Neodiprion lecontei: one gene and its partner. The protein of the gene in region 1 purifies or fractionates together with the protein of each later gene. This does not show direct contact. Links are inferred from orthologs where the notes say so. Each region holds a gene or a part of one and is shown on either strand. Other genes may lie near its edges.

What was found.
Region 2: the proteins of DNA fragmentation factor subunit beta (region 1) and DNA fragmentation factor subunit alpha fractionate together in Drosophila melanogaster (co-fractionation; 3 studies listed by BioGRID, with this or other methods). This does not show direct contact. The link is inferred for Neodiprion lecontei from reciprocal best matches to the Drosophila melanogaster genes Drep4 and Drep1.

Annotation. Positions count from the first base shown.
Region 1 is NC_060263.1:37,513,162-37,518,291, forward strand, and holds the start of DNA fragmentation factor subunit beta, read left to right. Parts: upstream 1-2,045; 5' UTR 2,046-2,417; coding exon 2,418-2,492; intron 2,493-2,582; coding exon 2,583-2,684; intron 2,685-5,130.
Region 2 is NC_060264.1:25,801,768-25,809,571, reverse strand, and holds the start of DNA fragmentation factor subunit alpha, read right to left. Parts: upstream 6,030-7,804; 5' UTR 6,011-6,029; intron 5,716-6,010; coding exon of another isoform or gene 5,660-5,715; exon of another isoform or gene 5,628-5,659; coding exon of another isoform or gene 5,626-5,627; exon of another isoform or gene 5,568-5,625; intron 5,429-5,567; exon of another isoform or gene 5,410-5,428; intron 5,298-5,409; exon of another isoform or gene 4,858-5,297; coding exon of another isoform or gene 4,459-4,857; intron 3,985-4,458; coding exon of another isoform or gene 3,880-3,984; intron 3,810-3,879; coding exon of another isoform or gene 3,688-3,809; intron 3,617-3,687; coding exon of another isoform or gene 3,442-3,616; intron 3,348-3,441; coding exon of another isoform or gene 3,264-3,347; intron 3,123-3,263; coding exon of another isoform or gene 2,910-3,122; exon of another isoform or gene 1,841-2,909; intron 1,536-1,840; 5' UTR 1,535-1,535; coding exon 1,357-1,534; intron 1,281-1,356; coding exon 968-1,280; intron 879-967; coding exon 758-878; 3' UTR 1-757. Other genes in the region: D-beta-hydroxybutyrate dehydrogenase, mitochondrial, read left to right, coding at 2,910-3,122, 3,264-3,347, 3,442-3,616, 3,688-3,809, 3,880-3,984, 4,459-4,857; protein JTB, read left to right, coding at 5,660-5,715, 6,030-6,269, 6,368-6,530; glutathione S-transferase C-terminal domain-containing protein homolog, read left to right, coding at 6,664-7,804.

The DNA of each region.
Region 1 (5,130 bases):
TTGACGCACGATTGCTCGGTTTTTCATTTTTACGATTTTTCCTAATTGGCGGGAAAGATACGGAAAAAACTAAACGTCCTATCGAAACGAGACAAATTGCATTCTACTCGGGATTAAATTCTTTTCTAGTTGAACCTAAAAAACTTTAAGAAAGTCAAGATTAACCCACTTTTTAAACAATCTAAAGTGAATTTTTTTTTTAATTTGCGAAAAATTGTTGAATTTTTCACTTTTTGTTGAATTTTCTTGGTTTAACTAGAAACTATACTATTGAGAAGTAAAAATTTTTTTGGGTTCTTTGTTTCAGACGGAAATTGCGACCTGCACCTTTCCCGCCGCACGACAAATGCACACTCGAGACGCCTCGGTGAAATGCTTGTACCAGGCATAATATGACATGTATCCTAATGAAAAAATTCGAGAAGACTGTTGAAATACATAACAATAAACCCTGAAAGTTTCGTTTCAATCGGATATTTCTTTCCTTCCCAAAAAAATCCTCGAAAAAACCGATTTTTTAAAGCCTCTAAAGCAGGCTCCCCCCCTTAAACTGTCGTATTAGATTAAAGCAAATTAGTAAATGCGGGTTTTTCTTTTTCTTATTTTTCGTGAACTCGAATTCTACAGTAAAATACTAACTATTACATTTGACGGTAGAATTTTGGAATCAAGTTTAATTATATTTTATACCGAGGACATTGAACAAATCAAACTCACAATCAGTGCAATTGACATGGTGAAATTTTTCAGGCTAGACTTATTGCACTCGATTGAATTCTGTTTGTTTTCATTGTAAAATGATTAATTCAAATATTTGATCATTTATTTGATTTACATAATATTAATCGAACGCGTTACACTGATTATTTATCTGAACTGCAAAGTTTTATCGTATATGTAACAATAATCGATATACTTGGAATGACCTTTAAATAATTCGACGAACTTGTCATATTACCGGTTCAAAACTAATTCATCAATATTTATAATTAAACTTTCTGATGTTCCGATTTCGTCGATTCGAACGAAATGGGAGTCCAAAAAAAAAAAAACAAATATTTAAATAAAGATGCGATAAAACGAGTATTTAAGAACTCCCATCTAAGCGAATTTAAATAAAGTTAGAATATTGAATCAAATTGTCACGATTCTGAATATCGAATGTTTTTAAGCAATAACTGGTGAGGTCAGGAATCTCATATATAAATAAAATGAGCTACAATTATTATCAAACGGTAAGAAATGTTAATAATAAAATAGCGTGATTTTTCCGACTTCGTTATAATTGAAATTAGGTGTCTTAAAATTTTCCTCTGTACGACAAGAGATCTTTTCTTTTTATAAACTTATTTTGAATTACATCGAACCCGACCTACACTGAGAGAAATTTTTAGTTCCGGTTACCGCTCGGTCCTTAAATATTTTTATTTTTTACCACAATCGAAAAATATAGTTTTAGGTACAAAATGAAAATTAGTTTTCCAGCTGTTACCAGAAAGTCTAGTATCCGTAACTATTCTTTCTCATTACTACCACTGTTGCTGTATTTTTTTGCAACTGTTGCGAAAGTTTAATTCTCGTGCAAGAATAAATTGACGTTAAAGCCTTGTTTGACTAAAAAAGTAGAGTAAACCTCTCAGAAGCTGATTTTGCGCTGCGATAAGCAAAAAAGGATCGACGATAGCGCAAAATGTTTACGCGTACCTCGTTTTTCGCAATTCCAACAATATTCAAACAGATTTTTTTTTCAAGGATACCCGTTTTACTGAATTTTTCTGGTTACTGTAACAAATGAAATTTTTCTCAGCGTACGTCCAGCTGCATTATTCGTTATTAATAGTAATTAACAATAAGATAGAGAGGAATTTTTTATTTATCCCCAATATGCCAATAATATGGACCGCATAAAAAGCACGAGTATTCGTTCGAAAATCGCGACGCGTTCGAGCGACTTTTGCACGCTGTGCGAGTTTTGCAGGCTAGCAGGGAAAAACGCAGTCGCGCAACGCGACTGCGCAGAGATAAAAGAGGATCGACGATTCCTCTCCAGTCTCTCCTGGGCTCTCCTGGCGTCGCGGCGTCCGTCGCTCGTCGGCGGATCCGTCGGATCATGAACTAGTCGAAGCCCCTCTTAAATTCGGCATCCGGTTCCGTTCGTCGCGTTCCGAAGATCGTTTCAAATTTCCGATGTGAAAAATACTCGGTACGAACGATCCGCGGAGCGATTAACAAGAGTCAGGTTTGGTTGGGACGCGTCTCGCAGGAAGCGAACAGCTGTTCGTAGTGCGTATCGGGCCACGCGTCGTTCGTAGACTCGGCGTCGGTAAGCAGTTTCCTAACTTACCGAGCGGCTCGGTTTTTCCCCGTTTCTTCCCGTTCTTCGCTACTTTCTCGATCGGAACTCTGCGGGAAAGAACATGTCCGTCATCGTTGATCGGCTCCGTCGCGTAATGAAAGGCGAAGACTCTCGGCCGGTTAACGATGAGAAAGAGGTGATTTAAAACGGTCGCTAAAAAAATTTACATCACTGTATTTGTGATTTACATTACTGACTGGTATTGTTCTTTCAACCTTTTTTTCAGATCAAGGGATACCGAGTGACAAATGCCGATCGCACTCGGAGATTCGGAGTCGCTTGCAAGGATTTTCAGGAGCTTAAAAGCAAGGCCTGCGCAAAGTTTAATGTGAGTTGTATTTTATAATTTGTCGTATCGTTGATCCGTGCTAAACACTTAACGCCAACTTAATCGAGCCGGGAAATTACCGGATGATCGTTAAATCTGATCGGTTACAAGTGTTCGGGTCGAGTTCCGAATGCAAGTTTTTGTTTTTAGTCAAAACTCGGCGGAAAATTAGTTTACTGTTACCGAAAAGTCTAGTATCCGTTACTGTTCTTTCTCATTACGATCACTGTTGCTATATTTTCTTGCAACTGTTGCGAAAATTTAACGCTCGTGCAACGATAAATTGACGTTAAAGCCTTGTTCAACTAAAAAAGTAGAGTGAAACCTCAGAAACTGATTTCGCGTTGCGATAACCAAAAAACCATCGACGATAGCGCAAAATGTTTACGCGTACCTCGTTTTCCGTAATCCCAACAATATTCAAACAGTTTTTTCAACGATACCTGTTTTACTGAATTTTTCTCGTTACTGTAACAAATGAAAATTCTCTCAGTGCAGTTTCCATAAAGGATCACTCTTCCGAGTGTCGATATTTCTTTGTAAACACGTTTTTTTCCCCCCTCCGCTAACAAATTCTCATCAGCATAAGATGAATATTGAGAGACTAGAGATTACGCGATCACGTCCCAGCTTCCTCCCCCGCATTCGGGTGACGCCTGATGCAACCGCAATTGCAAGTGCATAAGCCCGGCCGGATTTGCAGTTGCCGGCTTTATCGAGTGGTCCAAGACCCCAGCGTCGATGCTCTCATTTTTCCAACCCCGTCAATGTAGCTGCACGTGGAACTAGGAACATCCGCTTCCGGTTGCGCGAGTCTCGGTCAAGGTCGATTACATCGACGAATCATCTCCGTCCGCCTAACGAACCTCTGCAAATTCGATTTCAACGTTTCCCCCGAAACTGGGTCACCAGCCCCTTTCTGCCCCACCAAGCGTTGATCCTGGTTTTTCGTTTCTGCCCTTGATTTTCAAAGATTTTCCTCAAAGGACAATTTTCACACCGAGGGAAAGATTCGATTTTTTCTTTTTTACGAGATTTGAATGGTTGCTACGTTCGATAACATACATTTAAATATATATATATTTTATGAATAAATAGGTGATGGGGAAGTTTTATTCGATCACTATTTTTTCCAATTATCGTTTTTAAAGGGAGGTAAAAAACACGATTCAATTATTTTTTAAATACGTGTAATACACTTTATGCATGTGCATCTACACGTAAAACTGAAACTTTTCTTTCGTGAAATTTAACCAGTATGGATTTGCTTGATTCGAATGAAACGCGATTGAATTTAAAAAATTCCCCGTGTTCAAGTTGTTCCTTAATTTATTTATTTATTTGATTTTTTTTTTTTTTATTTTCACTAGGAACAAGTAAATATCGTTCAAGGATTATTCAGACAATTAAAAACCTGTAATCACCTACCGAAAGATTTTTTTAATACGATTTAAATTGACTCATATAATGTAGAACGTAAAAATTACCCTGATTAAGATAATCTTATTCGAATTCATTAGTCAATTTTGTTGATTCACAAAGCCATAAATTTTTCGAAACGCCATTAGACTTGCCTCGATCCTCTAGAAAATTTATCAGGAGCAAGTCAGTCTTATTCGATCCAAACAAACAAATATCTAATTATAGAATGAAGAAAACAAGGAAGAACAAGCAAACATATATTTGCTTGTAAAAGACATAATTTTCATTTCAGTATAAAAACGATGAACAAGATTTATTTATTTATTTTCGAGTTTCATCAGGCTTTGTTTTCTGTAATCAATAAATTTTGTGTTTTGTTTTAAGTTTGTTTTTTCGCAACCGATCAACATCGCTGATTAAACAACCTGTCCGATCACTTCGGTTTGTTTTTACATCCGCGTTTCTAATTCATTGTAATTCCTCTTATTTATCAGCCAGTTATGATTTGTTATGTTCCGATTTTTTTTTTTTTTTTGTCACTCGTCCAATGTTTATACCGGAACGAAATACCGGATAGAAATTGACAAAAAAAAAAAATAACAGGAAACGAAAATAAGGAGATTGAAAATTAAGCCAGACATTGACCGTCTCGTAAAATCAACGAATTATATTATCAGACAATAATTTATTCTATCGATTCTTCTGACTTCTAAGTGGTATATGTATCATACGTTATATCATGCAAATGATCATCGAGTTTGAGTTTAACGACGAGTTAGAGACTTAAAACTTTAAACATAGCTCAGAACTTGATGCCAATGCAATATTATTCGTTGATTTGAAATAATGAGAAAAAAATAATTCGATTAGCTTCGACTGAGATTAGATCTCGAATATTCTACACACAGAATATTAAAAAGCAGAAAACAATTATTTAAACAATTTTTTTTTTTTTTTTTTTTTTTTATTCCAAATTTACAACGTTTCTAAAACGGTCTGAAAAGTATAAAATATTTTCACCCAA
Region 2 (7,804 bases), on another chromosome or scaffold:
TTTCTATCAAATGTGTCTTTTTCTGGTATCAAAGGGTACTAAGATCGGTTTATGGATCGAACAGCTAATTTTAGTGGAGCGAAATTTGTGATCTAAATGGGGGATGAAACTTTACTTACCTCTCAATATAATGAAATTCAGTCTTAAACATTTCATAAAACTTGGTATCAACTAAAACCTATCTCTTATAGAAATACAATGTGTAATAAACATTTATAAAAATCATATATAATCCTAATCCTTGGGCCAATATCGATGTGGCTACCTTGCAAGGAAATTATTTTTACGCTCTAGCCTCGGCAGCGGTGGAATGATACTTTACTGGATATTTTGCAAAGGGTCAGTATACTATAGCCGATTAATTCCTAACGCAATTCTATGTAGGGTATGTTTACCTACACGATTGTGTGCAAAGTTGCAATTATTTATTCTCTCCGATAAAAGACGTACGATACCTGTAATGCAGAAGGTATGCCAAATATTATGAGCGTGTATTATAAGCTGTGATCATCCATTAATCATTACGTAGGACATAAAAATTGCCCATCATTCAGTCGGCAGATATCTATACACGTATGAATCACAGAAACTTTACTCCCTTCCTTCTGCCCCATATTCATTGGGTAATTTGACATGGAACTTCGGCTCAATTCCAGATGAAAATCATCGTTTGCTGAATGTGACGTCCCTTGTATATGAGACGTCTTCGAATGCGGTACATGTTTGCCAGTGTGAGGGTGCCGACCCCCCACATGGCCTACGCCCGCTCCATCTCTCCTCCGCTTGCATACATCTGCAATAGTGCCATTGATTCCTGCGCCTGTCGTTTCTCGGCTAAAAATCTTCCTGACGCCTCCTTCAGTTGCTCCAGGAATATCCTGCAGAAATTTTTTTCAAACACTCAACAGACTGCCCACATAATCACCCAACATGTTCTCTCTTCCCAAAAACTTCACCCATCCCTCACCTGTCAGGCACAATGTCTGCTAGACTTTCCGGATCCATATCACTTAGCAGTTCCAAGTCGTTTCCACCTAATAGCGAAATGTGGGTTGGATCTCCACGCAGTGAGGAGACCAGCGGCTTGATCTGTGCCCCATTCCCACGTTCCCTCCTTCTTGATGTTCCTTCTTTTCCACTATCCGTATCATCCAGCAGAACATAGCGTGATGTACTAGCTGAGCTTCCAGCAGCTGACCATCTTTGATGGCCACACAGGACCATCAAGCTTGTATTTCTCTCAAGCGTAGCAAAGTATTCTTCGTCGTCTACCTCGGTACCTGCGCAATTCACACTTCATTAAGGTTGTCAATCACCAGATAATCGATATTTACAATCTAAAATAACAATACTTACCATCCTGTTCCAAAACAATGGTCAGGTGCTCTTCTTGTGGCAAGTCAAATCGGTTTCTAGCTATGGCAGTGAGTTCTTTTAGTGACGAGGCTGTAATGCCCTTGCGTCTTTCTCTCGCATGATCAATTATCTTATACGGGGAAGCTGTTGCTTGTACTGCCCCTGCAGTGTCTGACATCCTGAAATTAGATTGGCGTTGTATAAATGTCATGAAAATAAAATGTTCTGATAAGCCATAAGAATTCACACAGAGTTTCTTTCATTGCTTAGTCTTATTGGAAGTATAGTATAATAATTTCTTGATATATATTTGTAATGAAAAATTCAAGAATCTAGAAAGCTGTTTGGATAAAATTATATCATTGAAAAACGTGTTTGGAACATATCCTTTCAATATATCCTTATTCAAAGTGGCTCTCAATCGTTTTTTCACAAAGTGTTTAATGTTGATAGATAGATTGGGTCTTATAATGGTTTTCCTTACCTTGTTTTATTTATATCACCAGAGATATGATATCAATATTAAAATTACCAAAGTGATTGTTTAGAACACAGTCGAATTATGGGTCTTTCACGTTCAACTTTTTACTCGATAATCACTTGGGTGAAATCACAGTGATAAACTGTAAATATATGTAAGGATAATATGACACTATTAGGCAATGAAACTTTCTCAATTAATTTTGAGCAAACTTCTGTTTAACAGGGTATTTTAATAGGATGACAATACGCAATTTGGTGAGCACTGTATGAATACTGAATGTAGGCAAAAGAGGGTGGAATCCGAATGCAATCTCTTAAGCTGTTCGCTGGCTATGGTGGTTGTCAGTGGTGTGGCAATTCAATATGATTATATCACTACTGTACAGACGTAGAGTAAAAAAGAAAGTATCATTTGTTGGCCACTGAACCGACTTTGCACCAACTGAACACTGGGTCAATGGTGTAACCACCCTTCCTATTTATACACTCAGTACTCTCTGTATATACATAGAATAACCAGACAGGCAACTCCTCCCTTTACCAACATGGCACCCAGACTGAAATCAATAATAGTGACCTCAGATCTGCAAGTGCATGGTGGAGGATCTCCTTTTTTCTTTTCTTTTTTAAACGCTGTTTTGCTCTCCACTTTCGTTTCAGATGTATTATACATTTTTTCAATTTTGAACTTCATAGGTGGGACACTTTGGCTTCAAGATTGAGGATAATCATAAGTTTTTGTGAATAGCAAATATGAAGTTTGATTAGTTGATGGGATTTCTACGTCAATGCATTTACTATTGGAGCAGAGTCCAATTTTAATAGAATTAAATGATTCACCTATATCTACATGTATTTTGAGGAATATAAAAAACATGCTGAGGCATACTCGGGCCTTGGGTACCTACATCGCTGCAGGGGATAAATTTAGCCGAATGAGACTAGACAGCGTATCAAGTTTAAAGTTAGCCTGGGCTTAGTCCAGTTCAGGCATCTAGGTGAGCTCTGGCTAGCGTTTAGTAAACTAGTTCAATTATTAAGTATCCATATTGAAATTAAATAAGGGTGTGATGCCACAAACTTTGAATAAACCACCCGAGGACAGCCAGGCGTGGGAGTTGTTAGAACGATGTCTTTTGCCATTCGTATTCTCACACGCGGTTGCAGTTATCGTTGCCACGATTCTCAACACTTTCGGTATTTCGCAGATATCTAGTTTTGTACTGTTTCTTCTATTTCTCAGCGTATCTCTCGGCTCTACTTTATTCTATCACAATCTAAAGGTAAACTATCACACTTGCCTAACAAAGAGAAATAAAGTCAATTATTCAAAGTGAAATATCCGCAAGTTTAACGATTGAGGCCATAATAGCGACATCGCTACGTATTACTAAATACAGTGATGAAGAAAATTATTATCATAGGTAACTGCGGCTGGAAAGGCAATATTGATAACAGGATGTGACTCCAGGGTAGGAAATGCTTTGGCGAAGCAGCTGGACGACTTGGTATATAAAAATAAAAACCTACAAAATATCGATATGCACAATCATTACAATGATAACTCGATAATAATATGTCCATTGTTAAATATCTTTCAAGGGGTTCACAGTTTTTGCGACTTTTTCAAACAAGAACGAGAACAATGAGATAGCGTGCAAACTAAAAGATCAATGCTCAGGAAGACTGCGTGTTCTGCAACTGGATGTAACAAGCGAGCGTGATATCCATTCAACTTTCCTCTACGTCAATGAGCACTTGCCCGACGGAGCTCCAGGTAAATAGACCAGCCAGAGTTACGTTACTTAGTCTGAAAAAGTCAAATCAAGCATTCCAATTTAATTATAGGTTTGTGGGGTTTGGTACATGCTGACGCCTGGGTGGCGCTAGGAGAATGTGAGTGGATTCCATCTTCGGTGCTAAAGCGTAGCGTGGAAGTTAACTTCATTGGAGTATCGAGACTGACGCAGGTAAAAACATTTGTACAACAAGTTTGCTAAACTATGACACTTGCATATTATTATTTTTATCGTGCAATAGGTATTCCTTCCACTAGTGAGACGCTCTAAGGGACGCGTTATACTTGTAGGAAGCCTTTTCGCAAGAATCCCAAGCCCAGTGCGAGGGATACATTGTGCAGTAAAGGTAAGAAGACCGGAGGTGACAAACTCGGTTGTGCATAATGAATTGCAATAGGTTTTTAAAATTATTACTCTGAACACCGGCTACTTTGATAAGGAAGCGCAAATTTGAAATCAGGATAAAACTGTACGCTATCTGACTAATGGAAATTCATAGTATTTTTTATTTTGGTTTGTGAATCTGTAAAGGCGCTAGTTTCTGTATGTGTTCCGAGGTCTCTAAAGCAGCTCAACCCCTTGCTATGCTTTTTTTTATTTCATGTACGTTATTCATTGAGAATAGTTTTAGTACATATTTTATGACAATATGATTGAAGCACAATACTTGAATTTTTCCCAAATATTTTATGTAATCTGCGCAAGAGTATATCGTGGGGAACTGAAAATCAACTGATTTTGTTTATAGACCGTATATTTTCTCCGAAAAAAAAACTGTACTACTGCACGTAGGTCCCTAAAATATGCAAAAAACTTACAGGCAGCGGTAGAGGCATGGGGAAATTGCTTACGTTTGGAAATGCGGAGATGGGGTGTGGATGTTGTTATAGTTGAGACCGGGGAATATGTGTCGGGCAGTGCCTGGCTGAAAGACAATGCCTCTCTGCTGGAGCAGGCAAGAGATATGTGGACACAGCTCGACCCCCAAACACGGCGTGAGTATGGTCAAGAATTATTCCAAAAGGAGATGATTGCCTTAGAGAGATACACGCTTGGTCCGGAGGCGGATCTGACTCAAACTACCAGAGCTTTGACCGACGCTACAGTGAGAACGTTCCCATTGAGGCGATACATGCCTGTGTCTCGTGGAGAGAGAATAAGAGCGCTACTAAGTGATCACCTGCCAAAACCTATATACGACATACTATACACGGATTGAATGGTTCGTAAATCAATTGCAGATCTGTTCCTTTAGTTTGTTGCTCATTTCTCCTATTTAATCGAAGAGAAAAAGAAATTTATGATATTCTGGCAGTCAATGAAATCCCTTGAAATGATTACTGTATATATATTGACTTGATGTATTTTCATAGTTGATCGTTCGAACACATTTCAAGGCTTTATAAATAAATGGGCGTACCATCAAGGCATACGATTTATTGTCCCCCTCCCACGCTCGAAAAAACCGTCTGCGCAATAAATATCGTATCTCCTCCACCCGCAGTCTACACTCAGTTTTTTTGGTGAGGACGTTGTGCTCAGTTTTTGCGCTCTTGGCTAGAATGACAGGAATGACAGGTTCGTTTCAAGATCAGTTCTCGGTCAAAGAGATTCTCGGCCTCTCCGCAGATGGCGTTATTTTTAAAACAGCGTAGATGATCCCCGTCGCTGAATGAAGATGTATGAAGACTGGTAGCTCAGCGTTATTTTTCGAAATGATTTACCGGATCTGAGCGGGTTTGGGGGTAAATTCTACGACTCTGCCACTTACCGACTCGTCTTGTGGGATCCCAATGTTGAATAAAATTGGTATTGCAGAATACTGCAATTTTCGGCATTCTTTAAGGATACTGACGAACTGTGATGCAATCAAGGCACACTGCATTGCGGGTAACGAAGGGTTCTGTCTTATCCATTATTCGTCGAATTCGGAGGGTGAGTTAACGTGAGTCATAACCTCACCTCGTCGATCGACGTACGCATTTCAATGTAAATCCATCAGTTTTTGAATTTATATTACAATGATCGAGTCGTGTACAAAAAAGCGGATGCTCATAGCCGTCACTTTTTTAGGAGGGTCTGTTCTCATTTCTATCAATAACACTTATCAGCTTGAAAATTCATACCCACGTTTTCAGTTGCTGTAAACCACTAGCGATAATAACCTAAGAGTGGATTTTCTCTTTTAATATTAGTTCAGTATCAGTACCCTGATTAACGATATTTTCAAAATTGTTATCGTTCGCATTGTTGACCAATAAAAATGTGTCATCATTTTTGCGCAAAGCTATGTAGCGTGATCCCCATTTTTTGCTTATATATACATGTATATAACCATACTGTAACTTTTGCAAGAGATGTGTTGTACTTACAAAAAAACATTTCTTCCAGGTTGACGATACTCGTCTTGATTATTGAAAGCAATTGGACAGACACGGACAGCAGCAAGGCATTTGTAGAGTCTGTCGAAAAGAATTCGAGCTGTTATCTCAATGAAGAATTTGATGTGATATTAGAGTGTCATCCGTGTACAGCTTTCGAAATAGCGAGCGAAAGCATCGGCGTCTGCATTCATACAAGCAACAAGGAAGTGTTGAAATGTCGCAAGAGTGGTATAACTGTAACCAGAAGGTAAGGATTGTTATTATGATTGTTTTCATGATTTGTGATAACTCCACATTTTACTTGAACTGGTTCATTTATCTTTTTACATTTTGTACTCTTTTCAGTTGTGATAAAGTTGCTTGGCTGGAGGAGCGCAGTTTCTGGAGATTTGAAGGCCTTATGTTTGGTCTCGCTGTCTTATCTTGCATCAGCGTCTACTGGAGGGAGAACATCTTGCGGCAAAGAATAGTCAGAAAAGTGGCTAGACAACTCAGAGCTAGTGTGTAGATTGGCGGTACCGACCAGCTCAGGTTCTGAAAAAAATATAAAATTCACATAGTATAATTTGAACTGCATTTCTGTAGCATTCAGACTTTCAAGAGTTGTGACACTATCGTACACGATATAAAAAAAAAGGACTATGGAAACCAACCAGCTTTTCCTGGAGGTTCATTCCATTGCAGATTTGTGCCTCGCCCCGATAGAGACCATAATAACATTGTTCACGATAAAATACTGTGATTCTCGCGTATCGATTAACTTGGTTGTAACAAAAAAAACACGCAATGAGGAACGGTCTAATTTTATTGATCTGTCCGGGTTTACTTACACAGTTATGGAAGTAGACAAATTACCACGATATGCGAGTACGTGCGACCTTCCAAACGTAATAGTTAACGAGACGACATGTGTGGCTGGGCTCTGCGCGACCCTACGTCAAATAGTAAAAAGTAGGTGTTTTGAAACGCCATTGCACTACAGCAAAGCCTTACTAGGATTTAAGGATGCATGTTTGCTGGCCTGCTCGGAGTCGAGTATCTGGACAAAGTTTTGCGAGGTGGATTTAATCTCGACCCTGAAATCTATCCATGGTCAAACTTCAAGTAGCGATACGAATGAGATTCCTGAAAGCATCGCAAGATTTGAATGTCATATGTCGCAGCCAGTGAGATTGCACAATTTGTACAAGTATACAATGTCGAAAAAATTTTCCATCAATGGCACTATGACGGGTAACAGGGATAAAATACCAGAACACATTTATGCGGAGGGATCTCAAATCACATTGGCGGATATCATAATATTTGTCTGCATCCACACATTTTTTACACTCCACGCATTGAGATGTGAATTGTTAGAACTCATACCACTGACAGCAAAGTGGTACACGAGGATGCTTTCGAGTGAAATGATATCTGAAAGTTTGAGATGTTTAAGACACTTGGAATCTCCGAGCTTTGAGAACCGGGTTACCAGCTATGTTCTTCCCGACGTTGAAAACCATAGCCTGTATAAGAGCGATCCAAAGCGATACAAGCCTCGTAATCGCATTTACACAAAGCAAGTTGACATAGATGATTCATTTGCATTAATCAGTGAGCTAGGCATCAGCATCGAGCTTGCATCGGAACCGTTTGGATCGGAAATGACATTGAACTGGGATGAAATCCCGTTTGAAGCAACGCCAGAGGGAGGTGCATTGCCCGAAACGAGACTGAAGCGTAAGTTTGAGCAGTTAGAAAATTTGTGCAGGCCTGTAATGGCATTGGCAAAAATAGGGG